Linked DNA regions of Pelodiscus sinensis. The protein of the gene in region 2 purifies or fractionates together with the protein of the main gene of each other region. This does not show direct contact. Links are inferred from orthologs where the notes say so. Each region holds a gene or a part of one and is shown on either strand. Other genes may lie near its edges.

Evidence for each region. Proteins that work in one complex are often made in the same cells at the same time.
Region 1: the proteins of bromodomain-containing protein 8 (region 2) and H2AZ1 purify together in Homo sapiens (affinity purification with mass spectrometry; 4 studies listed by BioGRID and IntAct, with this or other methods). This does not show direct contact. The link is inferred for Pelodiscus sinensis from reciprocal best matches to the Homo sapiens genes BRD8 and H2AZ1.
Region 3: the proteins of bromodomain-containing protein 8 (region 2) and MRGBP purify together in Homo sapiens (affinity purification with mass spectrometry; 10 studies listed by BioGRID and IntAct, counting the BioPlex papers as one, with this or other methods). This does not show direct contact. The link is inferred for Pelodiscus sinensis from reciprocal best matches to the Homo sapiens genes BRD8 and MRGBP.

The regions. Positions count from the first base shown.
Region 1 is NC_134715.1:23,413,842-23,424,265, reverse strand, and holds H2AZ1 (histone H2A.Z), read left to right. Parts: upstream 1-6,380; 5' UTR 6,381-6,395; coding exon 6,396-6,623; intron 6,624-7,082; coding exon 7,083-7,160; intron 7,161-7,677; coding exon 7,678-7,791; intron 7,792-9,070; coding exon 9,071-9,200; intron 9,201-9,363; coding exon 9,364-9,425; 3' UTR 9,426-9,775; downstream 9,776-10,424. UniProt on the Homo sapiens protein: Variant histone H2A which replaces conventional H2A in a subset of nucleosomes. Nucleosomes wrap and compact DNA into chromatin, limiting DNA accessibility to the cellular machineries which require DNA as a template.
Region 2 is NW_027465994.1:705,867-715,874, reverse strand, and holds the start of bromodomain-containing protein 8, read right to left. Parts: upstream 3,862-10,008; 5' UTR 3,786-3,861; coding exon 3,767-3,785; intron 2,872-3,766; coding exon 2,775-2,871; intron 2,472-2,774; coding exon 2,402-2,471; intron 1,880-2,401; coding exon 1,830-1,879; intron 1-1,829. Other genes in the region: kinesin-like protein KIF20A, read left to right, coding at 4,373-4,534, 9,616-9,702, 9,892-10,008. UniProt on the Homo sapiens protein: May act as a coactivator during transcriptional activation by hormone-activated nuclear receptors (NR). Isoform 2 stimulates transcriptional activation by AR/DHTR, ESR1/NR3A1, RXRA/NR2B1 and THRB/ERBA2.
Region 3 is NC_134728.1:7,674,549-7,684,397, reverse strand, and holds the start of MRGBP (MRG/MORF4L-binding protein), read left to right. Parts: upstream 1-5,805; 5' UTR 5,806-5,820; coding exon 5,821-5,995; intron 5,996-7,162; coding exon 7,163-7,284; intron 7,285-8,271; coding exon 8,272-8,353; intron 8,354-9,849.

The sequences.
Region 1 (10,424 bases), on a different chromosome or scaffold from region 2:
AAAATGGTGTTTAGAAAAACATGTTGCTATTTCTAATTGTCATTGGTTCCTACTATTGTATTAATTCTGATATAGTACGGCTTGGATAAATCTAGCACTACCAAAAAAAGTTTGTAGAATACAGTCATATGAACAGTCTGGACTACCATTCTGAAACAGCATGAAGTGTGTCCTCCCAATATTTATATTGTTAAGAAGTAATGGCTGGTGTCCAAAATAACACGGCTTCACTTAGCAAGGTACCTTTTGCCTCACCTTCAGCTGTCCCCAGCAGCCTGAATATAACTCAAAGGCACTGGGGAGAGAGACTGGGAGAGACCCAGGGTCTGTGGGAAAAATTGTGATGGAGGACAAGGAAGGATAGTGGGCAACTGAGAAGTAAAGAGTACCTCTCCTATTTCCTCCCCTTGTGGAATTGGGATATTTCTAGCCTGAATCATAGACTGAGCACAAACAATACTCCCATTTGTGTTCTTTCGTAGTTCCCTGACTGCCTGTCTCCTCCTTCTAACCATCATCAATCAACCCAATCTGATTTCACAAACTGATCCCATTCCCACTGCTAGCAAAAACCCAATTTGTTCCCCTCCCAGTTTAGTCTGACCCCCAAGCTTCTTCCAACCATTTCTCCATTTGCTCAGAAGCATACCTATGCTTAGAGCACTGTGCAGACACAAAATTAATATCTGCATCTACAAAAATTATCTAAAGATATTTGCAGTTGTAAAGCGGATATCTATGGATTTGCAGGGCTCTACCTATGCTTCCAGTTTGGAAACAATTCCTTGTACCTAATCTCTCCAAAGTTCAGAATCTCCTGCATTCCAAATCCAAAGTCTAAGACATACACCCATCCCACATACACACAAAACACTAGGGCTACGTCTACACTGGCCCCTTCTTCGGAAGAGGCATGCTAATTTCTAACTTTGGAATAGGGAAATCCGCGGGGGATTTAAATATCCCCCGCGGGATTTAAATAAACATGGCTGCCGCTTTTTTTGCGGCTTGGGGAAAAGCCAGAAAAGAGCGTCCAGACTGGCGCGATCCTCCGGAATAAAGCCCTTTTCCGGAGGATCTCTTATTCCTACTTGAAAGATTTCCCTATTCCAAAGTTCTAAATTAGCATGCCTCTTCCGAAGAAGGGGCCAGTGTAGACGTAACCTAGCTGTATCTGAACAACTTGTCCTGCTTGTTGCTGCACTTGGAAAAATGGGAAAGGTCTCTGATTGCAGAAAGCTGTGGATTTTAATTTTGAGGTTGAAGAAAGTCAGTACTACGAAAGTCTGGGTATGCCTTTCTCAGTACCTCCTGGATACATTTCCCTATAAGTTTCTGTCTTTTCTGGTATGATGAGGCATTGATCTTGATTGGGGCTCTAGGCACTAATGTAATACAATATTACTTGAATACATATATTCCCTTTTGTATAAGGAAGGTCTTGTGTTTGTCAAAGCAGAGGAGTCTGAGTCATATTTACATTCTATTCATAAACTCTCACACTGACTTTGTGATTTTAGGGAAATAACTGTTCAGGACTACCCCTGGAAGTGTGCACTCTTATTTGAGAACAAGAAGGCCTTGTTCAGATTTAGTTTAACCAGTTCCTGAATCTGTATAGACAAGCCTTTAGAACACAGTCTTTTGGAAATCAGGTCACAAATGTGTTTGTCACTTACCTGTTTTAAATGGTGGTAGGCAAGTATCTTGCAAGTGTTTTCTGTGGATAAATGTCTATCAGATTGATCTTTGGAAGAAACGCTATATAAATGCAAAGTAGTGTTAGAAAAAATTCTGTTGTATTTAAGAAATAGGATGTGGATCACATTAAAACTAACAATATAAAAAGGCAAGATTAAGGTTCAGGTTGTCCAGAAGTGCACGTTAGGTTTTAAATACCTAATTGTACAACAGCAATATTGCATGAAAGTCTGCACTTGATTTTTTTTTCCTTCCAAAAAAATCCAACACTGCAAATATTTTGTTGCTATTAGGATTTGAAAAACGCTGGACATATACTCGTAGCAGATTTTTTTTTTCTGTCTACAGTGAAATTACAGTTATGGGATTCCTGCTATAACAGCCTGTCTATACACAATGGCTGGGGAGGGAACTAGTGACTAAATAGTTAAATAGTTTAGTTATTTAAACTATTCTTGCAGTGGATTATTCTTGCAGTGTCAGTGTGACCTTATCTATCCATATTTTGGAACAGCATCAGCTCATTACACTAGCTTTACAAAGAAACTTTGGCATAGTGATATTCAACTTCGCAACACCTACCAGTGATTAGAAAAAGCACCATTATTCACAAAGCCTGCATTAGGTGCCTGGGATCCCTGTAGGTTGGCTGGGGGAGAACTGAGTACCTCACTATGGGATTCACACAAATGAACATGGTAGGTAGTTCTGCTTCTACAATAGCTGTGGGAGATGCCAAGCTGAGAGGGAGGGTGTGTAAAGCCCCATGCCTCTCTTGAGCCAGTCTGCAGGGAGGTGTCTCTTCCTGATTGGGATTCTTTGCGCAAAGCTTCTTTAAGTGTTCTAACAAGAAGCCTGTGAGGGGCATGACCTCTCAAAACTTTTAGTCCAGAAGTGGATTTCCCACCCAGGATGTGGGACACCCTCAGTTGCACACACTCTCTCTGATTTGAACTAAGCTAACTGTTAGGCAATGGGGTATTATGATGTGGGGCTCCCTCAGTCTCTCCCATAAAAGCTGTCCAAAGTGGATAAACAACTTTTTTAAAAGATCACTAGTTCAAGGAGATTGGATGTCTCCCCTTCCAGGCAAATGCTCCAGCAGCCAGACAGGCTACAGAGTCATCCATGAAATCTCTCTGCTCAATAGCCAGGGGACTCCCCCATTATGTAGGAAATGAAGTTCAAATTGCTGCTCCAAATCAGGCAGAGCAAGAATTTGAAAGCAGGTCTCTCTCATCCCAGGCAAGTGCTCTAACCACTGACTTATTAGCACTGATGGATGTGGCTGTTGACACAAGAAAAGGCTGACCTGCCTTAGGCACCTCACTGCAGAAGCGAGGTAGCGGCTGTGAATTCAGTCAAGGAATTTAACTACCTCTGAAGAATTTGGCCCTGCCCCTTGACATTTCCCACCAAAGTATCTGAGCCATTCCCACCAATGAGGAGTGTGTGTGGAGGTTTCAACCCCCTTTTGTAGGTATTTAACTTTCCCCATGCATTGGATGGCTCACCAGTGGCTGAGAATTCACTGTACGTCAGGGGAAACCAGTTTTATTTGTGAATCTAGCCCTAGATATCTAAAGAGGCAGACAGGGTCCTACAGTGATTCTCAAAAGTACCCGGGTGAGCAAGTCAAAATTACTTCAGTAGAAATTGAATACCCCAGGCATAGTTAAAAATCCTACATCTTCAGACATCCAAATAACTTTAAAAATGTGCCCCTTTGTCACCGGAGACACCTTATACAATGATCAAATAAATTCTATTTTAGATGAAGACTATTATAAAATGCTAATGGTACGTTCAAGATGGTAATGCTGCAATATCTAAAAATGCCACTTGCTTAGATTGCCAGACAATTGAAACTTTCATTGAGTAAGATATGTTGAAGGTCCACGCAGAGTAACTTGTTACAATATAAATACCAGGGACTTCTTATTTTTTGTTACTTATAAAGCCCGCCCATCATTAAATCTTTGAGGGTGTATGCACATAAAATATTCTGAAACTTTTGACCAAAGTTAAAATGACCCGTCTTCCCTCAGAACATTACTTGAGGAAATAACAGTATTATCCTCTCCAGCAAGTCTGAAAATGACCTTATCTTGCACTTATAAATAGACTTTTTCCCCTCAGAATACTGATTTGTCAAAATTTTAAGTGTTCTGTAGAGATGGTTTAATTTTGATGAAGGCTAGATGGCAAGCAGGCAGGGCTTCATGGAATCCTGCCAGACTTTCTATCTGGTGGATTGATGAGGAGTCTGGGAGTGGCTTCTTGACAGCCTGCCCTTTCAGTTTTCAGCATAGGATGACTTGTGGGGCTCATCTACACTGGCCCCTTTTCCGAAAGGGGCATGTTAATTTCACAGGTCGTAATAGGGAAATCCGCGGGGGATTTAAATATCCCCCGCGGCATTTAAATAAAAATGTCTGCCGCTTTTTTCCGGCTTTTAGAAAAGCTGGAAAAGAGCATCTACACTGGCCCCGATCCTCCGGAAAAAAAGCCCTTTTCCGGAGGATCTTATTCCTACTTTGAATAAGATCCTCCGGAAAAGGGCTTTTTTTCCGGAGGATCGGGGCCAGTGTAGACGCTCTTTTCCGGCTTTTCTAAAAGCCGGAAAAAAGCGGCGGACATTTTTATTTAAATGCTGCGGGGGATATTTAAATCCCCCGCGGATTTCCCTATTACGACCTGTGAAATTAACATGCGCCTTTCGGAAAAGGGGCCAGTGTAGACGTAGCCTTGCTGTGATAGGGACGCCCTTTTCATTGAAAACTTCTAAATTTAAGCTCTTGTTTTAATTCAGAACAAGATCAAACTTTGAGTTAATTCTGTTTGAGGATTTCAGTTTCTCAGCATAGCAACAATAAAACAGTAGGATGGGAAACGAATTCCTAAATCAAAAGTGCTTCACCAATCATCTCCTGCCACCACATTTACCAAGTTTATGACAGTTGACTTAGCAATTGCCATACTGCATCAATCAGTGATGTCTTTGGTCTCCTATCTTGACAGTGATTAATACCAGGTAATTCAAAGAAACCTGCAAGATACCTAATGGAGTTACATGGAAAAACTTCTAGTTCCTGACAAAATGTCTACATGGGGTTTTAGCTGAGTATAGAATGCCAATTAATTCTAACTCAAGGTTGAGGGCCTCTGTAGATATACACATAGGTTGCAATATGCTTTCAAAGATTTGTGCTTGAGAAGGGTGAGCAGAGAACTATTAATCATGTTAAGATAACTCCATTGGAAACATCTTCCTTCCTGATTGTCACTTGACTAGACCCAGAAGCGGCCCAAGGCTGGCTGCGGCAGCTGGCGCCCCAGGTGGAAGGCGCGATTGGCGCCCCCACCTGCACGGTCGTCAATGGCCGTGACGTAATGACGGGGCGCCCCTGACTAGACCCTTATTATGGTACACCCACCTCCCGCAGACACGCAATGGGTAACTGTTCTTGAGACTCATTGGAATAAATGGAAAGGTCCTAAAAAGTCTCCCCTTAGTCTAGGACAGTGGTCCCCAACGTGGTGCCTGTGGGCGCCATGGCACCCGCCAGGCCATTTCTGTGCACCCGCCGAGTGATCGGGGCCGGCCCTGAACCTCGGCGCGTGGCGCATGGATGGTGCTGGCTCCGGGCACGTGGCACAGGGGTGGCACCAGTCCCGGGCACGCAGCACATGGGCAGTCCCGCCCCCAGGCGCGCAGTGCATGGGGCTGTGCCGGCCCTGGGTGCGTGGCATAGGAGCGGCACCAGCCCCAGGCATGCAGCATATGGGCTGTTCCGGCCCCAGGAGTGCAGTGCATGGGCGGTCCCGCCCCTTGGCACCCGGCACAGGAGTGGCACCGGCCCCAGGAGCGTGGTGTATGGGCAGCCCCAACCCTGGCCGTGCAGCATAGGAACAGCGCCGGCCCCAGGAGTGTGGCGCATGGGTGGCGCCAGCACTGAGAACGCGGCGTATGGGTGGCCCTGCCCCCGGGTGCATGCACAGCCCCCCCCCCCCCCAGGTACCCGGCACGTGAGTGGCCCCACCCCCAGGTGCCCAGCACCCCCAAAAGGTTGGGGACCACTGGTCTAGAAGGCAGGAGCAGCTAAGCATTTGACAAAATAAAAGCTGTTGTGGGAAAACAAATGTAGCATGACCAACTCTTGCACTAAGTGGTATCTTCCTTAAAAACACTTGGAATGATGTGTGGCTGCAAGATAATCTCACCGGCTTTTAAGAAAACCTGCTTCTAGTTGCTCTACAGAGATCGAGACTTAAAACGTGCCCTCGGAGTACTCCAGCCCCAGGGAACATGTCACACTCCCTCTCACAAAGCGTCACGAGGCTCCTGATTTTTACAGCCATGTGGCAAGCCTGGGGGGGGGGAGGGGCAGGACTGACTCATGTTTTCTGAGCGCCCGTTTAGCAACCTTGATAGATGCACCAGGCACCCGCTGTGCTGAGCCAGGCAGCAGGGATGCCGGGCAGCTGCATAAGCAGTCACGAGACACAGGCCCCGGCTCCCACCTTTCCCCGCCCCGGAGCGCGACCCAATGAACCACGCACTCAGCACGCCCGTGAGCGAGGAGTGGTGACGTCACTTTAAATATGGACGGAGTCTTTTGAGGACCCGAGGAAGCGGGTTGCCCGCTCTTGTCAGTCACTCAACCCTACCAACTCCGCCCACTCGCTGGCCTATGATTGGTCCGGGCGCCTCAGCGAAGGCCCGTCCCCACTCAGTCGATTGGCTAGCAGCAGGAGCCGGGTTCCCGGATGCGGGCACGTTCGGTGGTTATAAAGCGCTCGCGCAAGGCGGGAGCGGGCGCAGTTTGAATCGCGGCGGGTGCTGGGCTCGGGCTGGTGTGGTTGGGCACGCGCTCTTTCGCTTACTACCCGTTTGTGGCGCTGCAACACCGCTCATAATGGTAAGAGAGCCGCAGGAACGGGGCTCAGCGGGGAGACTGGGGGGTGCGGCGGCTACGTCGCCTTGCTGCGGGAAGGGCCGAAGCTGAACTGAACGCGCCGCGGAGGGTGAAAGCGCGCGAAGGAAGGGGGTTAACGGTGGGTGGTGGCGGTTGCCTGAATGGGAGGTGCTCATGCTAAACCTGTTGGGGGAGGGGGAGAAGAGGAAAGAAGGGAGATGGCGCACGCGCAGTAGTGACGCCACCGATGACCGGAAGTGGGTGGGGCGCATGCGCTCGGGAAGCTGCTTGGGCCTGCTAGCGTGGAGGAATTAGACACGCTGGTTAGATACGGGAGGCGCATGCGCTTAAGGCGCCGCGCGCCGGTTACCTTCACTGCTTGCGTTCTGTATGGGGTAGCATGGGGCACGCTGCGCTTGTGGCAGGTGCTGCTCCCCATTAATCTCTGCTTTTTTGCCTTAGGCTGGTGGAAAAGCTGGAAAGGATTCCGGAAAGACCAAGACCAAGGCGGTATCCCGCTCACAGAGAGCTGGCCTGCAGGTGAGGACTGGGCGAGCTATCTGCTTATAGCACAATCGCTCTGGACTGGGAAGGGTTTGCTGGAGAGCCCTCCAAAGTTACGGCAGAATACTCTTATTGCAAGGTTTTTAAATCGTGAGCTTCTTACATGGAAGATCAGGTTGAGGAATTTGTCTAGTCCAACCCACTGTTCAAAACATACAGTGGACGACTGGATCACACCTATGCTAGTGTAATCTCAGGGTGGAGAGCCTGCTAAAAGCACTCAAACAGTTACTTGAATTGCAGGTGTATGCTTTATAGTCAATGAGCTTGAGCGCTCAATGTGTGTAGAGGGGGTAGTTGTGTGTTGCTGCCTGAGTGCTGTAGAGAAGCAAGAAGTGTAAGACTGCAACTTTACACTCTTATCCCAGTGATGTCTGTCTGCCAGTCCCAAGCCCTTCCATGTGATATGATTGGTGTATCTTCTATCTTACAAGCCATTTCAGGTCTGTTGATAAAGCCTGAGTCACTTTAATTCTATTCTGACCCTTTGCAGTTCCCTGTTGGCCGCATCCACCGACACTTGAAATCAAGGACCACCAGCCATGGACGTGTGGGAGCTACAGCTGCAGTATACAGTGCTGCTATTCTGGAGTACCTGACAGCTGAGGTAAAATTGAACCATGGGGAAATGTGGCAAGCAGCTGACATTGCTGGCGCTGCATAATGACCAAGGTTGCTTGTCTTCTGAAATACTTCTACTATTGGAATTTGTCGTAGAGTTGTGTTCAAGAATCCTTGGTTTAATCATTTTCCCCTACAAGCCCATTTAAGTTGGTAAAAACATAAACGGATGTCCCTGTGGTCTGTTCTCAACTAAAGTTAGGTTGAGATCACTACATTGCTTAATGTAGTGCCATTTTAACCAGAAAGGACACTCTCTCAATGACTTAACCACCTGCATTCTGCTACAAAGACCTTTTACATCTGCACTGTCATTCATGTTAAAATTCAACACTCTCCAAAAAGGAATGAACAAACACTTGAACTATCTTACCCATTATCAAGATAGCTTCCCCAATTATCACCTCTAATACCATTAACTCAAACATCCCATGCTCCCCACCTCTAATCATCAATTCAGACACTTATCTTCCTTCCTTCCCCCCCCGCATCTCCCTCGTGTTCTGAAATGTGATTTGTCTATTCATGTGTGTTCATTTCTTTTAATTGTATCCTTTGGTATATATGGTTGTGACTATTTTCTTCCACTATTTGATCTGAGGAAGTGGGTCTGGCCCACGAAAGCTCATCATCTAATAAACCATCTTGTTAGTCTTTAAAGTGCTACATTGTCCTGCATTTTACATTGCTTAAGGGTGTGAAGAATCTGCACCTCTGAACATTGTAGTTAAAGCAGCCTAATCACCAGTGTAGATAATGCTAGATCAATGGCAGATCTTCTGTTGGTTTAGTTTTGCTTCTCAGGGAGGCTTATTATCTATGCTGATGTAAAAACCCCTCCTGTTGGCATAGGTAATGCCTACACTTGAAATGCTGTAGTGAGAGCACTATAGCTATGATGCTGTTGCATTTTAAATGATCTTTTAAAACTGTTTGATCAGATCTGAAATGGTTTATAAGCTACCCCAATCATATTGCATGGAGGCATGTGTGACTTTTTTCCAAAATGTCACAACTCTTTTGCCTTACTCTTGCAAAATATCTTCCCCTTCAAACTATGGGGAGGAGACTGAGGAATTATCCTGCAATGCAATCTGTTAATACTGTGTCCAAACTTAACAGTGCAGTCTGCAAAACTGTTACACAAGACCCTGATGATCTCTATGTAGCCCTAGCCTATGGTATCTTTCCGGCTATTTTGAAGATGTCATTAACTACTGCAATCTCTATATGGTGGGTAGGGTCTGAATGTACTCTGTCTGCAGGTTCTTGAGCTGGCAGGAAATGCATCCAAAGACTTAAAAGTGAAGCGCATCACTCCCCGTCACTTGCAGCTTGCAATCAGAGGAGATGAAGAATTGGACTCTCTCATTAAGGCAACAATTGCTGGTGGTGGTATGTAATTCCAACTCATAGCTATTCAAACTAAACTTCAAGTCAAATAGACTTAATTGCATTTTACAAAATTAATACACAATTGCAGTACTATCTGGATTTTGGATGACATAGGGAAAATGCATTTCAAAATTGCCTTAATTCTTGGTGTTTTTTCCCTTAGGTGTAATACCACATATCCACAAATCTCTCATTGGAAAGAAAGGACAACAGAAAACTGTCTAAAGGATACCAGTATTCCTTGTTATCTCAGGACTTTAATTAAACAGTTGTCCAGTGTTGGTGATTCCAGTGGACTGTATCTGTGAAACACAACTTTGCCTTTTTGTAATTTTGAGAAGATAAAGCTCACTGAGCATTCTAACATACCAAATTTCTGCATTGAAGTCTTAACCATATTTAAGTGTTACCATGGCTTCAAAGAAGCTATTGTATCTGTAAGGGTTTTTGATTAAAGATGACTGTTTTAGATCTGTTTGATTTTAATGTGAAGTAGAAGTTAAAGGAAATGTTTGGTTTTGTACAGACTACTTCCACACTAGTGGATGAATTCAATAAATGTTGTATCAATAATATTCTCTGTGCATTAGCTTTGCTTTGCTTTCTCAGCTGTTTGCCCAAAAAGCAACTTAAGACCTATCGGACACCCAGTTCTTGACCAAGGAAATGTTACCCTACTATGACATTGTAAAGTACTTTACTTTGATTCAAGCAAGTTCTGTTGGCAGAATGTCATTGCTTCAATTCTGATGGTACTTACTGACTCCTTATCTGTAATAAGCAACATAGATCCTAAGCTTAGCTGTTTAAGAGACATGAGCTTTAAAGGGGATGGCAGCATATTAATCTGTATTGAAGGGAGCTCCTGCTTACTAGCTTGTATAAATAGCGCCAAAGCTTATCAAATACAGCAAAAACAGTTTGCTCTAGACTACGACAGATGAATAAAGATTTCTGACTCTTGTTCTCACTTTTTGTATACTGCATGTTTTTGTTGAAGTTAAACATGTTTATCTAGTGCCTTTCAATATTGCAGTTTAAAACTATCTACAGTGGTGCATCAGTAGTAAGGCTATAATACTGTGATGTTAATGGGGCCTTGATTGTTTAACTAGATGCTACCTGGAATAGTGCTAAGCTAGAGCCATGATACCTGGCTACAACTATAGACTTTACAAACATAGTTGTAGAGGTACCTTAACATACTACATGAAGTGTGTGTGG
Region 2 (10,008 bases):
AAAAAAAGACCTAGATAGATTTAGGGAGGTTAGGTCCATCAATAGTTATTAGCCAGGAGGGGTAGGAATGGTATTCCTAGCCTCTGTTTGTCTGGATATGGGTGACAGGAGAGGGATCACATGAGGATGATCTGTTTTGTTTCCTCTCTCTGGGGCATCTGTATTGGCCACTGTCGGCAGACAGGATACTGGGATAGATGAACCTTTGGTCTGACCCAATATGGCCTCTCATGTTTTTAAGGCTTTGTTGCAAAGCTATTCTGGTGCAATACTAATGGCATATATTTTATAAAACACCAACTTGTTTAATATTAATATACTATCAGGATGAAACTAAGTTACGTTATCTTTCTAACTGGATTGCAACTACCCTAAAATACTACTTTGGGGAGCTCTGCTGGGAATTGTAGCCCAGGTAACTAAGAAGCCCTACAATGCACTATATTTGGGCTCTCAAATTGTGGGTCAGGACCCCAAAGTTGCTCATGATCTATTTCAGGGCAGGCTTAGACTTCCTGGGGCCATGGGCTAAAGTCAAAGCCAGAGCCCCACCTTCTGGGAACGAAGCCCAAAAACCCTGGGTGACAGAGCTCAGATTACAGGGCCCCTCCTTGGGTCTGAAGCCAATGGGCTTCAGCTTGGCCCCACCCCACCAGGAGGGTAGGGCTTGGGCTTCAGGTTTGGCCCCCAGTCTGGAGCAGTGGGCTATGGGGGGAACTCAGGCTTCAGTCGCCCCTCCTAGGGTAATGTAGTAATTTTTGTTGTCAGAAGAAGGACACTGCAGTATGGATGTTAAATATCAATTAATTGAATAGCTGAATAACCTCATGAATTTGTATCGGTTACTTGACTATTCTATAGTCTCGGTGGCAGGGCTGGCAGTCATCCGGCCCCACTCCTGAGGAGCCCCCTGCCACTCCATGCTGCTGCCTCCGAATCAGAGGAAGCAGCATGGAGTGGCAGGGGGCTCCTCAGCAGTATCAGGCGGGAGCTGCTCTGATAGAGGAGCCAGTTTAAAAACCAGCTCCCCTTGCTGCGGCCAGTGATGCTGCCTCTGATACAGGGGTGGCAGCAGTCCCTGTCCGGGGATAGAGAGGGTGTCTGAGCTCCTGGACCCAGCGTGAGCTGGAACTGAGCCAAGCTGCCTGCCTGCCTACCTCCTAAAACACTTTAAATGCAAAGTTTCAGTGCCGGTAGGTCCTGGACTGCTGACCAGCCTGCTAACAAATTTACTGGTGTGGGGGGAGGGGGAAAAATGCATGTAGTCTATAGCATTAACCTATAAGCTTTCGCTTAACAGTTAATTGACTACACTATTACATCCCTACTGTGCAGTGCACTTTGAGAACTCCTACACCTTAAAGGTTGCAGGGAGTGAGGTATATGAATGAATGACACCATTTCAGGAATAAACATTACCAGGGCTCGCAGAGCCGCGGCAAGCCCCGCTCGCCTGCCATGCTGTCTGGCGATCTGCGCATGCGCAGATCGCCCGGACCCAGCTCTTCCAGGTTGTAATCTATTCGCCATGGGCGAGTAGATTACATAGTTTGTCGAGCCCTGAACATTACAAATATCAGCTACAGAAATTTTTAGAATTGAAAGCATTTAGACCTCTAAAGTAGGAGAATGGGTGAACAGAAAGAGCATTCCAAGTGTGTATTCCTCAGCTGCTCTTCCCTTGGAAACAGTCACCCTTCTTATTCAGATACCACACTCAGATTTCCACGTGCCTGTCTTTGACAGTATTGGCAAATGCACAACCAGATAAACTGCTGAGCCCTCCAACAGCTGCTTCAGAGATCACATGCCTCATTCTTTGCACTCACTTGGGGGTCTCTGTGGTCTCCAGAAGCTCCGAATATTGAGATGCACAGTGCTAAAAAAATGCAGAGGGAGTTAGAGCACACAGAGAACAGTAATCACAGACAATGGTATCAGAGAAAGCTCATGTAGGACTGGGATCTCCTCTTCAAAGATCTAATGCCCACAGGGTGTGTTCTGAGATATGGATGGGGACACAATTGCACTCACTGAAGTCAAATCTATGACTGCAAGTGAGCTTAATGTACCAGGGCTTACTCTACCCTCCACTCTGACCTGTCAAAGAAAAGAAAAGCCTCGCTTAATAACATATTCATCCAAAAAAGGTAAATATTACAGTTACAAGCAGAAACTGCAGGATATTCTCAGAGTAGTGGGTTGGCGAGAACTATGCCAAGACCAGTTCTGCATAGGGATAACTGGTACTAGGAGAATGGCAATATTAAAAAAGTGACTCCATGTCTCCCTCAGATGAACAGCTTCCTCCCCTGATATCTCAAGTTACTGATCTTTCAGCAGCCATACCCCCAGACGGCAGTCTTGGCAAGAGCTGGATTCCTCTTCCAAAGCATCTTACCTTCTGAGAAAACCAGTCAGGTGGGCGGCCAGGTTCAGCAAAGGGCTTGATAGCTCTGCTGACAGATACCCTGCAAGAAAGAGCAGGTAAATGACTAGAAACCTGCCTTCCTCTCCACACCAACCCACAGGGGGGAGGATGCTTGCGCAGTGACGGACCCATCACACAGGTAATGTGCAGAACTTTCCCAGTTGCTTCCGGGGGTAAGTGCTGCAGCAGCGTTACTGGTTTGGACAGACCCAGGGCACATCGTGCGCTCCCCGGCCTGTTAGCAATGCAAAGCGCAGGGCACCCTGCCCCCTGCGCACAGCGGCTGCCTTGCCAGGGGACAAGGGCTCGCAGCCGGCGCGCTACCGTTAGGGGCCTCACTCACCAGTTCTGGTCCCCGCTGCGCATGACAGAGGAGGCGAGGCAGAGCTTCTCCCGCACGGACCAGGGCTCGGTGGGGCCGGCGCCCAGCAGCTTGTGCTCTGGCGGCAGAACCAAGAGGCTCAAAGGCTGCAGCACACCCCACACCCCACGGAGCCCCGCCCCTCACCCCGCGGAGCCCCTCCCCACACCCCGCCCGCGTGGAGCCCCGCCCCTCACACCGCGGAGCCCCGCCCCATACCCCGCACGCGTGGAGCCCCGCCCCACACCCCACAGAGCCCCGCCCCACACCCCGCACGCGCGGAGCCCCGCCCCACACCCCACGGAGCCCCGCCCCACACCCCGCACGCGCGGAGCCCCGCCCCTCACCCCGCGGAGCCCCTCCCCACACCCCGCACGCGCGGAGCCCCGCCCCTCACCCCGCGGAGCCCCGCCCCACACCCCCGCACGCGTGGAGCCCCGCCCCACACCCCGCACGCGCGGAGCCCCGCCCCTCACCCCGCGGAGCCCCGCCCCACACCCCACAGAGCCCCGCCCCACACCCCGCACGCGCGGAGCCCCGCCCCACACCCCACGGAGCCCCGCCCCACACCCCGCACGCGCGGAGCCCCGCCCCTCACCCCGCGGAGCCCCTCCCCACACCCCGCACGCGCGGAGCCCCGCCCCTCACCCCGCGGAGCCCCGCCCCTCACCCCGCGGAGCCCCGCCCCACACCCCGCACGCGTGGAGCCCCGCCCCACACCCCGCACGCGCGGAGCCCCGCCCCTCACCCCGCGGAGCCCCGCCCCACACCCCGCACGCGTGGAGCCCCGCCCCACACCCCACAGAGCCCCGCCCCACACCCCGCACGCGCGGAGCCCCGCCCCTCACACCGCGGAGCCCCGCCCCACACCCCGCACGCGCGGAGCCCCGCCCCTCACCCCGCGGAGCCCCGCCCCCCAATACTCCCGCCTGCCCGCGCGCAGAAACCCGAACAGGCTCGCGCCCCTCGCTCACTCCCAGGCCCGGCCGCCATTTTCCTCGCTAGACCCCGGCCGGGGGCGAGGGCAGAAGCGCAAAGCTCGCCGGGAAACACGCCCTGTTCCGTGAGCTCACCTTGCCCCGCCCCAACCTCGCTTTGAGGCCCCCCTGTGATTGGCGGAAGCGCTGCGCGCGCTCTGATTGGCTGAGTCGGCGGACCGCGAGGTTTGAACAAAGACAAGACGGAATCACCACGGATCCGAAGTGAGCGGAGGGGGAGGGGGGCGAGCGGCGTGGGGGGGCTATGCCGGCGGGGGGGGGCTGTGCCGGAGGGGGGGGCTATGCTGGCGGGGGGGGCTATGCCGGAGGGGGGGCGAGCGGCGTGGGGGGGCTATGCCGGCGGGGGGGTGACCGGAGGGGGGGCGAGCGGCGTGGGGGGGCTATGCCGGAGGGGGGGCTATGCTGGCGGGGGGGGGAGCACGGCTGGACTCGAAGGGTGTTGGGGGAGGAGGCGTAACATGGTTGTGGGGCGGGTCAGAGTGGGGGGTGCGTTGGGGGGGGAGGAGCGTGCCATGGGGCTGGGCATGCAGTCGAGCTGATCTTATTTGTGCCCCTTTCCTGCAGAAGCCACCTGTGGGGACCATGGCCCAAGAACTCCTCTCCCCTCTGGGGCTGCTGTGTGGGGAGGAGGTCACAACCTCGCCCCTGCTCGAGTCCACGGCAGCAGAGCTGGGGGCTGGCTTGCGCAAAGACCTGCTGTCCGATTTCTCTGCTATTTCCCCAAACCTGAGGGGCTCCGAGCAGGTGAGGGTTGCAGTATGGTGCAGTGGTAAAGCTGTTACAGCTGCTTAATGCTTTTGAAGCTTTGGTGTTATCACCCCTACCAGCCAGGGCTCCTGGCTAGACCACCATGCTTCTTGTATGTAGACCAGGGTTTCCCAACCTATGGGTTGGGACCCAAATATGGGTGGCCAATGCATTTCAAAAGAGTTGCCAGGTGTCTACCCAGGTGCCTCACCTTCTCCCCCCATTTTTGAATTGTCTTGGGCCACCAAATCTTCCTGAATTGTCAAGATGGGTCCCCATCTGGAAAAGTTTAGGAACCACTGATGCAGACAAAGACTACAGGTATGGGTCAGTGATACAGCCACTTTGCCAGGTTTATTGCCTGGCCTCAAGGCGTAGTTCTAATGCATTAGCACAAATGCCCCATGGCAAGTCACCAGAAGGAATTTTTGTTTTTCTTTTGGCTGTACACAGATACTCAAACGTTAATAGACTGGGACAAGCAACTTACATACCACCATGTATGCTTTATGATATTATTACCTCCCCATGTTCCTGATACCTCAGATAAGATCTTATTTTGTCAAATCATCTTTTTAGTAGTAGATTGAGATGTTTGCATACTACCATTTTGAAATGCTTTAATGTAAATATTTAGTGCCTAATAATTTTTAAAAATGCCTGTTTTAGCAATGCTAGTAGCAACTTAGACAAATGTATGCACTAGGCAGTAATCCTGTAAGCATTTGCTTTAATACTGCACCAGGCCTACTACTCCAGGCACTCTTTATCTAGCCCTGTGGCTCTCAACTGGTGGTCCACAGGAACGTTGTCCAAAGTCCATGAAAATGTTTTGATTGGCCTAGTGGTCTGTGGACTGAAATGAGTTGAGAACCACTGTGGCTGATGGGAGGGTACTACACTTTGAGCTTTGGCTTGTTCTCTGTACTAATGGGCAAAGATACCAGCCCTACAGAGAGGGAACCAAGCCAGAAGTCAGCTGGAGTCGGAGTCCAGGAACTAAGCCAGACATTTGTAACTTATATGATGCAAGTGTTCACAATTAATATTAAGTAACTAAGATAAGGGTGTATCAAACCCAACTCAGGTTTCGGGTTCAAATCTCTCAGTTGGTTTGCGAAAACGTATTTAGCAGAGGACCACGAAAGTAACAGCCAAATTATGCAGCCAAAATTTGCTTCATTACCTTTTCTTTTTAATAAACAGACATGCGCTTACACTTACCCAAATGCTACTCTTTTACTAATGATACTGTTATCCTCTCACTCAAAGATAAAATAGTGAATTGAAGGGTGATCAGTCCACTAACAGTGAAGTACAGCCTCATAACCCTGGAAACTCACAGTACCTTGTTGATCACTGGGGCTCCCTGCAGTTTAGGAAGGCTTCTTCTTGGATGCTGTAATATAATTAAAGAGTTCTTTATCATAATTCTATTTCCACCACCACCTTGTTACCTTTTTTTATTGCACACTATTTAAATCAACATTTGTGCCAATGTCCTTCCCACACTATCAACTTAGACAGTATTTTAATACATTCATGATTCTCGAAAACATTCTAATCAAAACATCATTCTGGGTCAAGCACTTGCTAACTTTTATTTTCTCATGAAACTTAGTCTCCAATTTATCTCTAGCTTTCTCACATGGCAACTTCTGTTCTTCGAGTGATTGCTCATGCCGTTTGCAAGTAGGTGTGCACGCATCACGTGCACAGTCGTCAGAAAGCTCTTCGCCAGCAATACTCGTTGGTCAGCTGTGGAGTCCCCTGGAGTGGTGCCACTACAGTGCTGTATATAAGCCACTGCCCCTATGGTGCTGTATATAAGCCACTGCCCATCCTCTCCTCACTCATTTCCTTCTTACAGCCAGTGAGGTTGAAGCTTCCTTTCTCTTGCCTTGGGCAAGCCTTTCCCTAGCTCTAATGTCTTGTAGTTATTCCATCATTAGTTAAGTGCTAATTATATCATGTAAATAGCTTTTTCTTTTTAGTGGGGAGTAGTCCCATCCTCCCCTCCCCCAGGGACTGAGGCATGCCTTGCTCCCAGGGTTTTAAACCACACGCTACTTGCCAGAAGTCTATGCCCATGGGAGACTCTCACAACTCTTGTCTCAAGTGCTTAGGGGAGGCACATCACATGGACAAAGGGGTTACCATCCTTTAGATTCAGACTCCTGATTCCACCACCAGCCAGTGCAGCCTGGCCCAGTGCCAAAACAGACATCCTCAGTGTGGGACAGCATTGCTGAAGGATTCTGCTTTGAAGACTCCCTGGCACCGGCATTCCCTGGATCCTAAAGGGGTGGAGCAACATCTCAGCATTGTTCACTGCTCCCCAATGCCGTCTAAGAGGCAGCATCGGCTGGAGGGGGGGGAAGGTCACCTACAACTAAGGCTGATACGGCCAGGAGAGTGCATCCTGAGCCTGGAAACTCTGCGGTGCTTAGGGAACAGCCCATGCTGTTGAGTCTGGTGTCCGTGGACTCCCCAAAACGAGCAAGAGCAGCTGGACATTGGAGTCATTCTCAGGTCTTTGCCCCCCTTCCAGGGGTGGCTCAGCCTGCAGACTGTCTGCAGGAGACCCCTTCTCTGTGACTAGGACAAGAGTCGGTTGTGGTGCAAAGGCTGGAAATGGGCTCGAGTGGGTGATTCCAATGCAGGTCACAGAACTGCGGCAGTCAGCCTTGCCTGCAGGACAAATGCATTTCGGTTCTAGCAGAAAACACCAGTGCTGTTTGTTTTATATCAAACAGGGTGGTGCTCACCCCTCCCTTGTGTCACAAAGTCCTCAAGTGCTCACAAAATACACCCGAAGGCCTTGTATCTGCCTGGTACTCAGAACGAGTTGGCCTGTCAGCTCAGCAGATCCTTTTGCTGCACCAGTGGTCACTTCCAGAGGCAGGGGTCTCCCCGGAAAGAACTCTTTGCAATGTGCCAGAACAGGAAGTGCCAGAGCTTTTGTTCTTTCCTCGGTCACCGCCTGGGTGCTCTGGCAGATGCCTTCCTCGTTCCATGGAAAGGTGGCAGTTTTCACCACTTCCCTCATCCCCAAGGTCCTGCTCACGATCTGTCAGGACAAGGCGTGGGTGATCCTGGTAGTTCCGGTGTGGCCCAGATGGCACTGGTTCATGTTTCTAGAGCTGTTGGTGGACATGCCTCTTCCTGTGCCCCGATCCAGAATCTGCTCACTCAGGATCACAGTCATCTTCAGCATCCCAGCCCGGAGTCCCTCCATTTCACAGCCTGGATGCTCCATGGTTAAATGTGCGGGAGCTGCCATGTTCGGTGGCAGTGAAAGAGGTTCTTCTAGGCAGCAGGAAGCCGTCCACACACACTCTACTTTGCCAAGTTGGAAGAGAGTTTTTTTTGTGGTTGCTTTAAAAGGGCATTCAACCTGGGGAAACCTCTATCCCTGTTGTTCTGGACTACCTTCTTCCACTAAAGCACCAGGCCTGGCAGTGGCTACAGAGAGAGTGCACTTGACTGCTGCGTGTTTATTGATCAAGTGGTGAGCCATTTCCTGAAGGGCCAGGACAGACTTTATCCCCATGTGAGACAGCCAATGGGACCTCAGTCTTGTGCTGTCCAAATTGATGGGCTTGCCCTTCTAGCCTCCAGCGAGGTGCTGCCTCCTCTCTCTCTCTTGGAAAGTGGCCTTTCTAGTGGCTTTTGTCAGCCAGAACAGTTTCTGACCTTAAGGCTTTGACGTTCCAACTGCCTTATGCAATTTTTATAAGGATAAGGTTCAGTTTAGGCCACACCAGCATTTTTGCTCCGGAGGTTTCAGATTTTCATGCTAACCAGGACATTTTTTGCTGGATTTTTTTATCCAAAGCCAGATGGGTCAGAGTGCGCATGTCACTCCTTGGATGTCAGGCATGCCCTTGCCTGCGATCTGGAACGTGCTAAACCATTCAGGAAATGTATCCGACTCCTTGTTTTCATTGCTGACAGAATAAAGGGTCTCACTATCACCTCCCAGAGGATTTCTTCTGAGATCACAACTTGTATTAGCGCCTGCTACAGTCTCTCCAGAATCCTAGCTCCACTGCTGACTGTACAGTCTTCACAGGTGCAGGCTTCACCACCATCTGGGCCTATGTGCCGATCCAGGATTTTTTAGGGTTTATATCTCACTACGCCATTTATCAACATGCCAGAAATGATACTGCTTTCAGGAGAGCAGTGCTTCAATCTGCAACTCTGTGATCTCTGACCCCTCCGCCAGAGAACTGCTTGGGAGGTCACCTGCTTGGAATCGACATGAGCAATCCCTTGAAGAAGAAATGTCTGTCTGCCTTTGGTAACTGTTACTCTTTGAGGTGTGGTGCTCGTGCCCATTCCAAGACCTGCCTGCGTCCCCTCTGTCAGGCTTTTCCGGCAAGAAGGAACACAGCAGGTGAAGGCTCAGCACCATAAAGGCCCCACTCCAGGGGGCTCCACAGCTGGCTGATGGGTACTGCCAGAGGAAAAAATCTTCCTACGACTCTGCACATGGCATGCTCACACACTTACTTGGGAGGGGCATGAGCAACACAACTGTTGTTCTGTAAGATGTTATGTGAAAGGTAAGCAACTGCTTTTTCTTGCTCCTATACACTTATACCCAGAACCTAACTTCTCCTTATTTCTTCATCTAAACCAGAGCCAGAGTCGAGAGATCAAACATGAATCAGGCCCAATACGCCCGCCAGTCAGTCATGAAGTTGCTTAGTCAACTTCCTGTGCCTCCTTCTGGTTTAAATAGTATGGTCAGGCCAATTGATGGGGCCTGTCATTGTAGCCAGGCAGGATGCCTCTGGGGAAAAGGGGAGGGATGAGAGTTCAGCTAGTCTCTCACTTCCGGTACTGCTGGAGAAGCTGCCTCCTGGTGGCCCAAGAACCAGCTGGAAGTGCCTGAGCAAGCTCCTGTTTTGAAACTTCTGGAGCAAGTGCCACTGAAGTGTCCAGAGGCTTCTGAGGCATGTTTCATGAGCTGCCTGTGCCCTGCGATGGTTCCCATTGGTGCACTGAGCTTGACAGAATTGTCTGGTACTTCCACTGACTGATACCGCTCACCTGTTGGGCTTCTGCAGACTGCCCCTGAGGACAATGGGAAAGTGAAGGTGTATCTGAGAGTCCGGCCCCTGAAGCCATCTGAGCTGGAGAAGCAGGAGGATCAGGTGAGAACCTTGGGCCAAGCAGGAGCTGCACGTGGGCAACAGAAGAATCCGTTTCCCCGTCCTACTGGGAACGGGGGCTTGTGCTGCACGTGGAGGATTCCACAACCTGCTGGGTTTGTGGTAGTCATGGGTGGGAGGGAGCTTTGTCTTTTGAGCCGTTGTGGTGAGGGAGCTTTGTTTGTACCTTAGGGCTGTGTTTGTATTGAGAATTCGGAGACGCTGCTTCTGAGAGCGCCTCAGGACTCTTTCACCATGCGGAGCACTGCCCGGGGCATAGGCCAGGCAGTACATAAATTCACCTTCACC
Region 3 (9,849 bases), on a different chromosome or scaffold from region 2:
ACAGCTCTCTATTGGAGGATGCACTATAACTGTTTCTCAACCAGTGGTCTGAGTACCCTTCGGGGTACTCGAGAAAAGCCTGGGGGATATGTCAACACAACTGAAATTTGGAGAAAACTGATTTTTTGTTTTACATTTTACAGTGCTTTATTATTTTTGTACTTTTTACACTCCAAAATTTCATCGCCCACCCGGCTACAATGTGTTGCAATGGTAGAAAAAAATGTTATGTGTATGAAAACTGTAGGTACTGGGGGTACTTATAATTTTTTAAGGGGGTACTTATAATTTTTTTTCTTGAAAAAAGGGTACTTTATAAAAAAAAAGGTTGAGAAACACTGCACTATAATCACTGTCGAAAGAGGTGGTGATGGGCAGATTAGCTATCTCAGGAAATTTCCTCCATTTTAAGCAGTAAACATAGAATCATAGAACACTAGAACTGGAAGGGACCTCGAGAGGTCATCGAGTCCAGTCACCTGCCCTAACGGCAGGACCAAGCACCGTCTAGATCATCCCTGATAGATGTCTATCCAACCTGCTCTTAAATATCTCCAGAGATGGAGATTTCACAACCTCCCTAGGCAATTTATTCCAGTGTTTAACTACACTGACAACTAGGAAGTTTTTCCTAATGTCTAATCTAAACCTCCCTTGCTGTAGTTTAAGCCCATTGCTTCTTGTCCTATCCTCAGAGGCCCAGGAGAAAAAATTTTCTCCCTCCTCTTTGTAACACTCTTTTAGGTACTTGAAAACCGCTATCCTGTACCCTCTCAGCCTTCTCTTTTCTAAACTAAACAAGCCCAATTCTTTCAGTCTTCCCTCATAGCTCATGTTCTCTAGACCTTTAATCATTCTTGTTGCTCTTCTCTGTACCGTCTCCAGTTTCTCCACGTTTCTTGAAATGTGGTGCCCAGAACTGGACACAATACTCCAACTGAGGCCTAATCAGCACTGAGTAGAGCGGAAGAATGATTTATTGTGTCTTGTTCACAACACTCCTGTTAATGCGTCCCAGAATCATATTTGGTTTTTTGCAACAGCGTCACACTGTTGACTCATATTTAGCTTGTGGTCCATTATGACCCCTAGATACCTTTCCACGGTACTCCTTCCTAGATAGTCGCTTCCCATTCTGTATGTGTGAAACGGATTGTTCTTTTCTCAGTGGAGTACTTTGCATTTGTCCTTATTAAACTTCATCCTATTTACCTCAGACCAATTCTCCAGTTTGTCCAGATAATTTTGAATTATGACCCTATCTTGCAACCCCTCCCAACTTGGTATCATCTGCAAACATCTCATGAGGAGAAAAAATGTTCTTGTAAGATTTCTGCCTTTCTGGGTTGAGAGCTCATAGAAATAGGTTTTCTTGTGGGATTTCAGTAACATCAACTACAACTTGGTAAATAGGCCTCTTCCATTTTGAAATCCTACCCAGAATCCAGACTGAAATGAGAACGTGGGTTCAGGGGTTCAAATCCAAAACCCAGTATTCAAAAGAGTTTAGATTTGAGATTCTGGTTTTGACCCATCTCTAAACATTTTATTTAACCATTTAACCTCTTTTAGGTATGTATAGAACATCAGTCGCCACTGTAAGAAGGGTTAGTTGGGTTGGATAAGTCTTGACAAGAAGACAGCGAACATGTAAAGAAACTGAACCTTTCTAATATGGAATACTTTCAATGAGAAACTCGTAAGTTTTTTCCTTCCTAGTTTTTGTTACTAGGGTAATTTACTAGGGCCTCTGTGCTTGTGAATTTCTGTTCCTGCTGTTTACTATTCATGTGAAATAGTAATCCTGTGTTTGTGACCAAAGTTATTTGCTGTGAACATTATTTTAATGCCACAGAGAGGATTAAGATTTTAAGAGAGAAATAAGCAGCAGGAATACATGATCACTAAGCAACAGAGAGACTGTTTCATGCATGTATGCTTAATAATAAAAAGGAAAAAAGGCAACACAGAAGGGATAATATATTATCACATTTTTTTCTGAATGGAATGTTTTGGGTAACAACTGTCTCAGGAGGCAACAGTGACCTCCCTTTTCAAAGTTCTCAGGAGCTTAGCAGTTCCTTCATTTTAAGCAGAGTGGTCTAGTTAGGACAGTATTGGCTTGAGGCTCTAGAGAACTGGACTCTATTCCCACCTTTGCCACTGACCTGCATTGCGATCTTGAACAAGTCACTTCCCTTTTCTGTTTCACCTTCCATCCTTCATCTGTCTTGCCTAGCTAGAATGTATGCTCTTTAGTGATGGGACTGTCTCTTACTAAGTATGTGCATAGCACCTAGCACCAATACCTTCAACTGGGACCTCTCTGTTCTATAGCAATACAAATAACATAAATATCTTGCCCCTTTCCAAAACATCTGATAGATATAATAGGGATGAACTCTTCAGGGTTCTTTAGAAATGTAGGCTTCTATAGAAACTACAGGCAGTCCCCGAGTTACGCGGATCCGACTTATGTCGGATCCGCAGTTATGAACAGGGTTTGCTCCTGGTCTGCTGGAGACCAGCAGACCAGGGAGACGGGGAGCAAAGCCTCGGAGGACGCCGGCAGCGGGACAACCGCGGCGCGTCTGGGCTGTCCGCTGCCCGTGTGCGCCGTGGCTTTGCTCCCCGTCTCCCTGGTCTGCTGGAGACCAGCAGACCAGGGAGATGGGGAGCAAAGCCTCTGAGGACGCCGGCAGCGGGACAGCCGCGGCGCGTCTGGGCTGTCCCGCTGCCCCTGTGCTCCGCGGCTTTGCTCCGGACGCCTATGGTACAGCAGCTGGGGCGCTGCTGGTTGGTCCCGTAGCTCCGCTCTGGGCACTACTGGACCAACCCGGCAGCACCCCAGCTGCTCTGCCCCAGGTGTCCCCAAGTCAGCCGCTGCTGAAACTGACCAGCGCTGACTACAGGAAGTCCAAGGCAGAGTTGCTCTGCTCCGGGCTTCCTGGAATCAGCCACTGATCAGTTTCAGCAGCAGCTGACTTGGGGACGCCTGGGGTTCTTAAGTTGAATCTGTATGTAAGAACTGGCGTCCAGATTCATTCTGTTGAAACTGATCAGCGGCTGATTCCAGGAAGCCCGGGGCAGAGCAACTCTGCCTCGGGCTTCCAGTAGTCAGCCACTGGTCAGTTTCAGCAGTGGCTGAATCTGGATGCCAGTTCCGACTTACATACAGATTCAACTTAAGAACAAACCTACAGTCCCTATCTTGTACATAACCCGGGGACTGCCTGTACTTGAAAAAATTGCAGAATTTAATAGGTTCTCATTCTCTATCGATAGATGTCCTTGTACCAACCTATTGAAGACAGAGAATTTTGTACAATAAAATCTTTAGGATGGTTCAGAAAAGCTATAGGAAACTTATTTTGTATTAAATCCATTAGCACGCTACGTGGGCTTAGAGGTAAACTATTAATTATCCCCAGCTTACAGATTTGCAAAGAGACAGACTGAGGCCTGCTCTGCACTTAAAATTAGATGGACCTTGCTACATTGCTCATGGCATGGCTGTGAATTTTTTTTTCCTGTGCACCTAGTATTCAGTATTTTCTCTTTTCCTCAGATGGATGGCTGGTGGCATCTGGGAGGGCGGGGGAAGGGAAGAGCACAGTAATTTAAAGGCGCAGAGGCCTTTTTTTTTTTCCGCAAAAAGATGGCTGGTGGCATCTGCTAGGGGAGAGGAACACGGTAATTTAAAAGCGCAGTGACCTTTTTTTTTTTTTTTTTGCTCAACCAATTCTTCCCTGCCTGTTCAGGATTTTTTGTGTAGGTATCTGGCAATCCTAGCAGCCACCAGGGGATGCCAAGGCTGAGGGGTGGCCACTGGGAACTAGTTGACTAGTCCCTCAACTTGTTGCTTCCTTCCCCCCCCCCACATCCCATCAGAGGCAGCAAAGGAGGGGGAGCGGGAGCTGGTGCTGGGATGAGTCAGCTTAAAAGCCAATTCCCCACAGCATCGTCTCTGCAGGGGGCAAGGGAGGCAGCGGGTTTGCCGGGACTGGGCACGAGCCAGGAATGAGCTTATTCCTGGCTTGCACCCAGTCCCAGATGCTGCGCCTCTGCTTTTTAAATGTATTAAGAGCCTGCCAGTTCTTTATACATTTAAAAATCAGAAGTGAAGCGGGAAGACCTGGAGCGAGCTGAGACAGCTGATTCCCTGCTCACACTTGGTCTCCCCACTGTGCTCCAGCCTTTTTACATTTAAGGTTGGTGCACAGTGGGGAGGGACCTAACACGAGCTGGGAATCAGCTGACTTGGGTCACACTGGGTCCCCCAGCTCTGCTTCAGCCTTTTAAATGTATAAAGAAGAGCCAATAGGCTCTTAATACATTTAAATGGCAGAGCCACAGTGCAGTTAGTTCCCGAAGCCAGGAGCTATCCCCACTGCAGCTCCCCAGCTTATTGACTAATCGACTAGTTGATTACATGAAATTTAACATCCCTATTGGGAACCCACAATAGGGATCAGGGTAGCTGCCAGAGTGTACCGGGGCTAAGGGGCAGATGTACAGGTGCTGGGCACCTACTGCAGGGATCAGGGTGGCTGCCAGGGGGCGTCAGGGCTGAGGGGTAGGGAGCAGCCACTGGACCCCACTACAGCAGTGGTTCTCAACTCGTTTCAGTCCACGGACCACCAGGCCAATCAAAAAATTTTCCTCCTTTTTGAGACATGATAAAAAAGAGCAGACAACGAACAGTTTGGTTTGAAATTTATTTCTTACTAACAGATTTTTGGTGCCTGCCCACACCTTGTGATTTTCGACAATGTTCCTGTGGCCCACCGAAAAAGGCACCATGGACCACCAGTTGAGAACCACAGCACTACAGGGACAAGGCCAGGGTGGATGTGCAGGCACTAGGCACCTACTGCAGGAATTTTGGGGTGGCCGCCACGAGGTGCTAAGGCGAAGAGGAAGCCGCTTGAGCCCCCACTACAGGACTCGCGGCGGCCGCCAGGGGGTGCCAATGGTGAGGGGCAGCCACTGAGCCCCCGCTGCAGGGCTCGGGGCGGCCGCCAGGACTGAGGGGGCAGGGAGCAGCCGCTTGAGCCCCCACTGCTTGGTTCGGGGCGGCCGCCAGGGGGCGCCAATGGTGGGGGGGGCAGCCCCTGAGCCCCCGCTGCAGTGTTCGGGGCGGCCGCCAGGGGGCGCCAATGGTGGGGGGCAGCCCCTGAGCCCCTGGCTGCAGGGCTCGGGGCAGCCGCCAGGGGGCGCCAATGGTGGGGGGGCAGCCCCTGAGCCCCCGCTGCAGGGCTCGGGGCGACCGCCAGGGGGCGCCAATGGTGGGGGGGCAGCCCCTGAGCCCCTGGCTGCAGGGCTCGGGGCGGCCGCCAGGGGGCGCCAATGATTCGGGGCAGCTCCTGAGCCCCCGCTGCAGGGCTCGGGGCGGCCGCCAAGGGGCGCCAATGGTGGGGGGGCAGCCCCTGAGCCCCTGGCTGCAGGGCTCGGGGCGGCCGCCAGGGGGCGCCAATGATTCGGGGCAGCTCCTGAGCCCCCGCTGCAGGGCTCGGGGCGGCCGCCAGGGGGCGCCAATCGTGGGGGGGCAGCCCCTGAGCCCCCGCTGCAGGGCTCGGGGCGACCGCCAAGGGGCGCCAATGGTGGGGGGGCAGCCCCTGAGCCCCTGGCTGCAGGGCTCGGGGCGGCCGCCAGGGGGCGCCAATGATTCGGGGCAGCTCCTGAGCCCCCGCTGCAGGGCTCGGGGCGGCCGCCAGGGGGCGCCAATGGTGGGGGGGGCAGCCCCTGAGCCCCCGCTGCAGGGCTCGGGGCGGCCGCCAGGGGGCGCGGCGGCGCTGCACAGAGCGGCGGCGCGGGGCGATGGGCGAGGCGGAGGGCGGCTCGGCCGGCGGCGGCGGCGGCGGCGCGGTGGCGGAGAAGCCCCCCGTGCCCGCGGCGGCCCCGGAGCCCGGCGCGCCGGCCGAGGAGGCGGTGGTGTGGAGCCCCGAGGTGGAGGTCTGCCTCTTCCACGCCATGCTGGGCCACAAGCCCGTCGGTGAGAGCAGGCCGCGGCCGAGCCCCGGCCTCGAGTAGCGGCGCCTGCCGGGAGGAGACCCGGGAGTGGGCGGGCCGCCCCGAGTGGCTCCCGCGGGCAGCGTCGGGGTGGGGGAGGTGCCGCTCATACCCCCCCCCCCCCCGAATCCGAGCCCCTCCCCCCCTCCCCGCAGCCAGGACTCCAGCCCCCGGGGGCCCTGCCGCTCCAGGAGCTGGGGCCAGTGGCTGCGGGGCCGGGCGGCTTTTCCTGCCTGTGGTCGCTGCCCCCACCGCCCCCCAGGGCCGGATTCCCGGGGGGGGGGGGGGGGCAGGTTCCATTATGTTTTCTTATTGGCCGGACCTGCCCCCGCGGGTAGGGATTTTTAGTTGCAAAAATAGGGGTCGGGCAGGAATTTTGAATATTGGGGAAATGTAGCGAGGCAGGGGCCCACTGCTGGGCTTTTCTTTCCCTTGCTCTGCCTGGCTAGGAGGGAGTGCGAGGAAGTGTGGGGGGAAAGGGTGTGGGGTCTTCTCCCCTTCTGCTGTTGGCAGGACATCTCTTGGGGCATGTTAGGTGCAAGTGAAACAATCCACAAGCAGGCTTGTTGACTTTTTGTTGCTCCCTCTCCCCTTTCAGAATTACTTGGTTGCAGCTTTCAGGATTCATTGCCTCTGGCTTAGCTGTGTCTGTGCCCTAAAAATGGGAGAAGACCCTGTGGTCCCAGCCAAGATTTTAATTATTAGATCTGCACAGAATCTGGTGCAGTCACTTAACTCAGGGTACGTCTAGACTACAGAGTTTTGTCGACAGATACTGTCGACAAAGCTTCTGTCGACAAAGAGCGTCTACACGACATTCAGTTCTGTCGACAAAGCAAACTGCTTGGTCGACATGGCAGTGTAGACGCAAGGACAGTTTACATTCAATAACGCCTTCTGTCGACAGAACTCTGTCGACAGAAGGCGTTATGCCTCGTAAAATGAGGTTTACCAGCGTGGACAAAACTGCTGAGTTCTGTCGACGTTATGTCGACAGAACTCAGCGGTAGTGTAGACGCAGGTATAGTTTTGTCGACAAAAGTCCACTTTTGTCGACAAAACTCTGTAGTCTAGACACACCCTTACTCAGTGAGGTGATGCACATGCCTCTCAGGAAATGTCGCTGATGGCTCTAACTTCCTTCCTTCAGGTGTGAATCGCCACTTTCACATGATTTGTATCCGAGACAAATTCAGTCAGAATATTGGACGACAGATTTCCTCCAGAGTGATTTGGGACCATTTGAGTACCATGTATGACATGCAAGCACTAGTGAGTATAGAAAACTGGCATTAAGGAATTCTGATTTCCAGTAGATGTCAACAGCTTTGATGTCATATGTGTTGGGCCTAATTCTTACATTGGTGTAAATTAGGTGACTTTTGTGAGGTCAGTGGACTTTCACCTGTGTAAAACTAGTATAGGAGAGAGGAAAATCAAGTCCCGTATTTCTTCCCTCTTATGCACTTGCTTTGATGTAAAATTTCTCTGTAGGCCCTGATCCAGTAAATACTTTGAATGCTTAACTTTATATGTGCAAATAGTCCTACTGACACACACAAAGTTCAAGCATTTTCAAGAAGTGGACAGTCACCCTCATATTCTGTATCTTGTCCTCTGGTAACCCTTATGGGACTTCTGATGACAGACTGAGATATCCTATTACGAATTATTTGGCCTTTTCCTGTACAGGTTGAACCTCTGTTAATCGGGACTCTCTGGACCATGGATGTTCCAGGACCAGAGAGTCCCGGTGGAAGGCTGGTGGCTGGGATCCCCACAGCTGGGCTGCTTGGTACAACCCAGCGGGACTGCCTGGTGTGTCCAGGAGCCCGGCGCGCTGCAGTGTGGCTGCAAGAAGCTTCCAGGAGCCTGGCACACTTCAGTGGGACTCCCCGGCACATCCAGGAATCTGGTGTGCTGCAGTGGGGCTTCCCGGGCATGTCCTGGAGTCTGGTGTGCAGGGAGCTGGGCTGCCTGGCTTAGCAGGGAATAGGGAGGGGGAGGGCTAGCAGTGCAACAAGGCTGGTGGGAAAGGAGGGCAGCTGGTCCAGGGCTGGGGGAGGAGGGGCCTGATAACGGGGGACAAATATGACATCCCCTAGTCTGGCAAAATCCCTCATCCGGGACCAGTCAGGTCCCAAGGGTGCCGGAACGGAGGTCCAACCTGTATATGAAATTACTTGGCATTTGTTTAGGAAATCTGAGCTGATAGTTATAATAAAATCACACTAAAGACATTTTACTTTTTTTCTTAAGCATGAATCTGAGATTCTGCCCTTCCCTAATTCAGAGAAAAATTTCATCCTGCCTGAGGAAATTATCCAAGAAGTGAAAGAAGGTGAGATCTGATGCTAGCTTTTATGTTGCAATGCTCTGATCAAGTTCTAGGCATGATTAGGCAACTTGAACTCCAGAAGAAGGGAAGAAGTAATGATGTACTAGGCTGACGCTGGTGTGTCACATCATTGGATTGTGTAATAATCAGGGAGAGGTAAAATAGTAAAAAGTTTAATGTAGATGGGATTTTTGATAACACATTCTATCAAAATCTCCCTTTGGCAGAGTATGCGCGTCTTCCACTTACTGAGGTGGGGAGGGTGGGGAAGGGTGCTATGTGCAGCAGGGAGGTCAAAATCCGGTCCTTGGGAATTATATGCAAGTAGTTAAAGGTTTATTCTTTTGGGGGTTAGGTGATTTGAATGTTTTAGTAAGACTGTGTTACTGATTAAGTTTCATAAGGCAATTGTTACAAGAGTTTTATTTACACTGAATAGCTGCAGTTCTATTGCAGGTGAAAACTAGAGCCCTGCATGGATACAAAAATGGTATCCACATCTATATCTGAAAAAAAGAACCTGGATATCTACAGATTTGCAGGGCTCTAGTGAAAACACTTGCTTTTTGGCAGGGTGCATCACAAAGTATCCATGTTGTGTAGGGAAACTGGAATAATTAATTTGATTGTTAATTTTGTATTTTGTCCAAGAGCACCACAGATAAAATCCTTTCTGCTTCTGACGGTGCATTCCTAAACACTTCTTGCAGTAGTTGCTGTCACTAATTACTTGAAAGCAAACTGAGAATCTTATCTTAAATGTAAAGCTTTAAAACAATAGATTTGTATTAATATTCAACTCTAGAATCTGTTCAATTAATGTTTTTCTGTGATTCTTTGCCTAATTTTGAAATTCCTCTACAGGAGCTTCCCTCTCAATATTCTGATGTAGCCAATACGTAGCCCACCAACCAAAAAAAATTTTTTTTTTTTTAAAGACAGTTAAACTTGGAAGGTCCAGATCATGGGCAGTTGGGGAAGGTCGGGCTGTGGGAGGCAAGCCCCCGGCCCTGCCCCTTTAGCCAAGGCCCCATCCCCCACAACGGGGAGGGAAGGAGAGTGGATGGGCAAGTGTGCACGCTCCAGTCTAGGAGTGCAGGGAGACTGGGTAGTGCGCAGCTTCAGCTTCCCCACCCCGAGCATGGGGAGGGATGGCACTCGAGGCAGCAACACTCCATCCTCAGTACACCTACAGTAGGCGTTCTGGGGACGGAGTGTGAGCAGGGCCAGGTTGGCAGTTGATACGGGCCACCTGTGATCCAGATTATTATCAAGTATCCAGTGCAGTTGTCCAAGACAGGAACTTGGAAGTTCCTACTTCTGAAAAAGGACAGTTGTTCTTGTGAGATTTTAAAGAACGTTAGAATGACTCTCAACTACTGGCTGCAATAAGTATTTCACTTAATATTTATAAAAGGCAGCATCAGTCCAAGTCATTGCCACATATTTTGCCCAATCGCTATTATATTTGTTCCTATTGAGAATACATTGATTGAAAT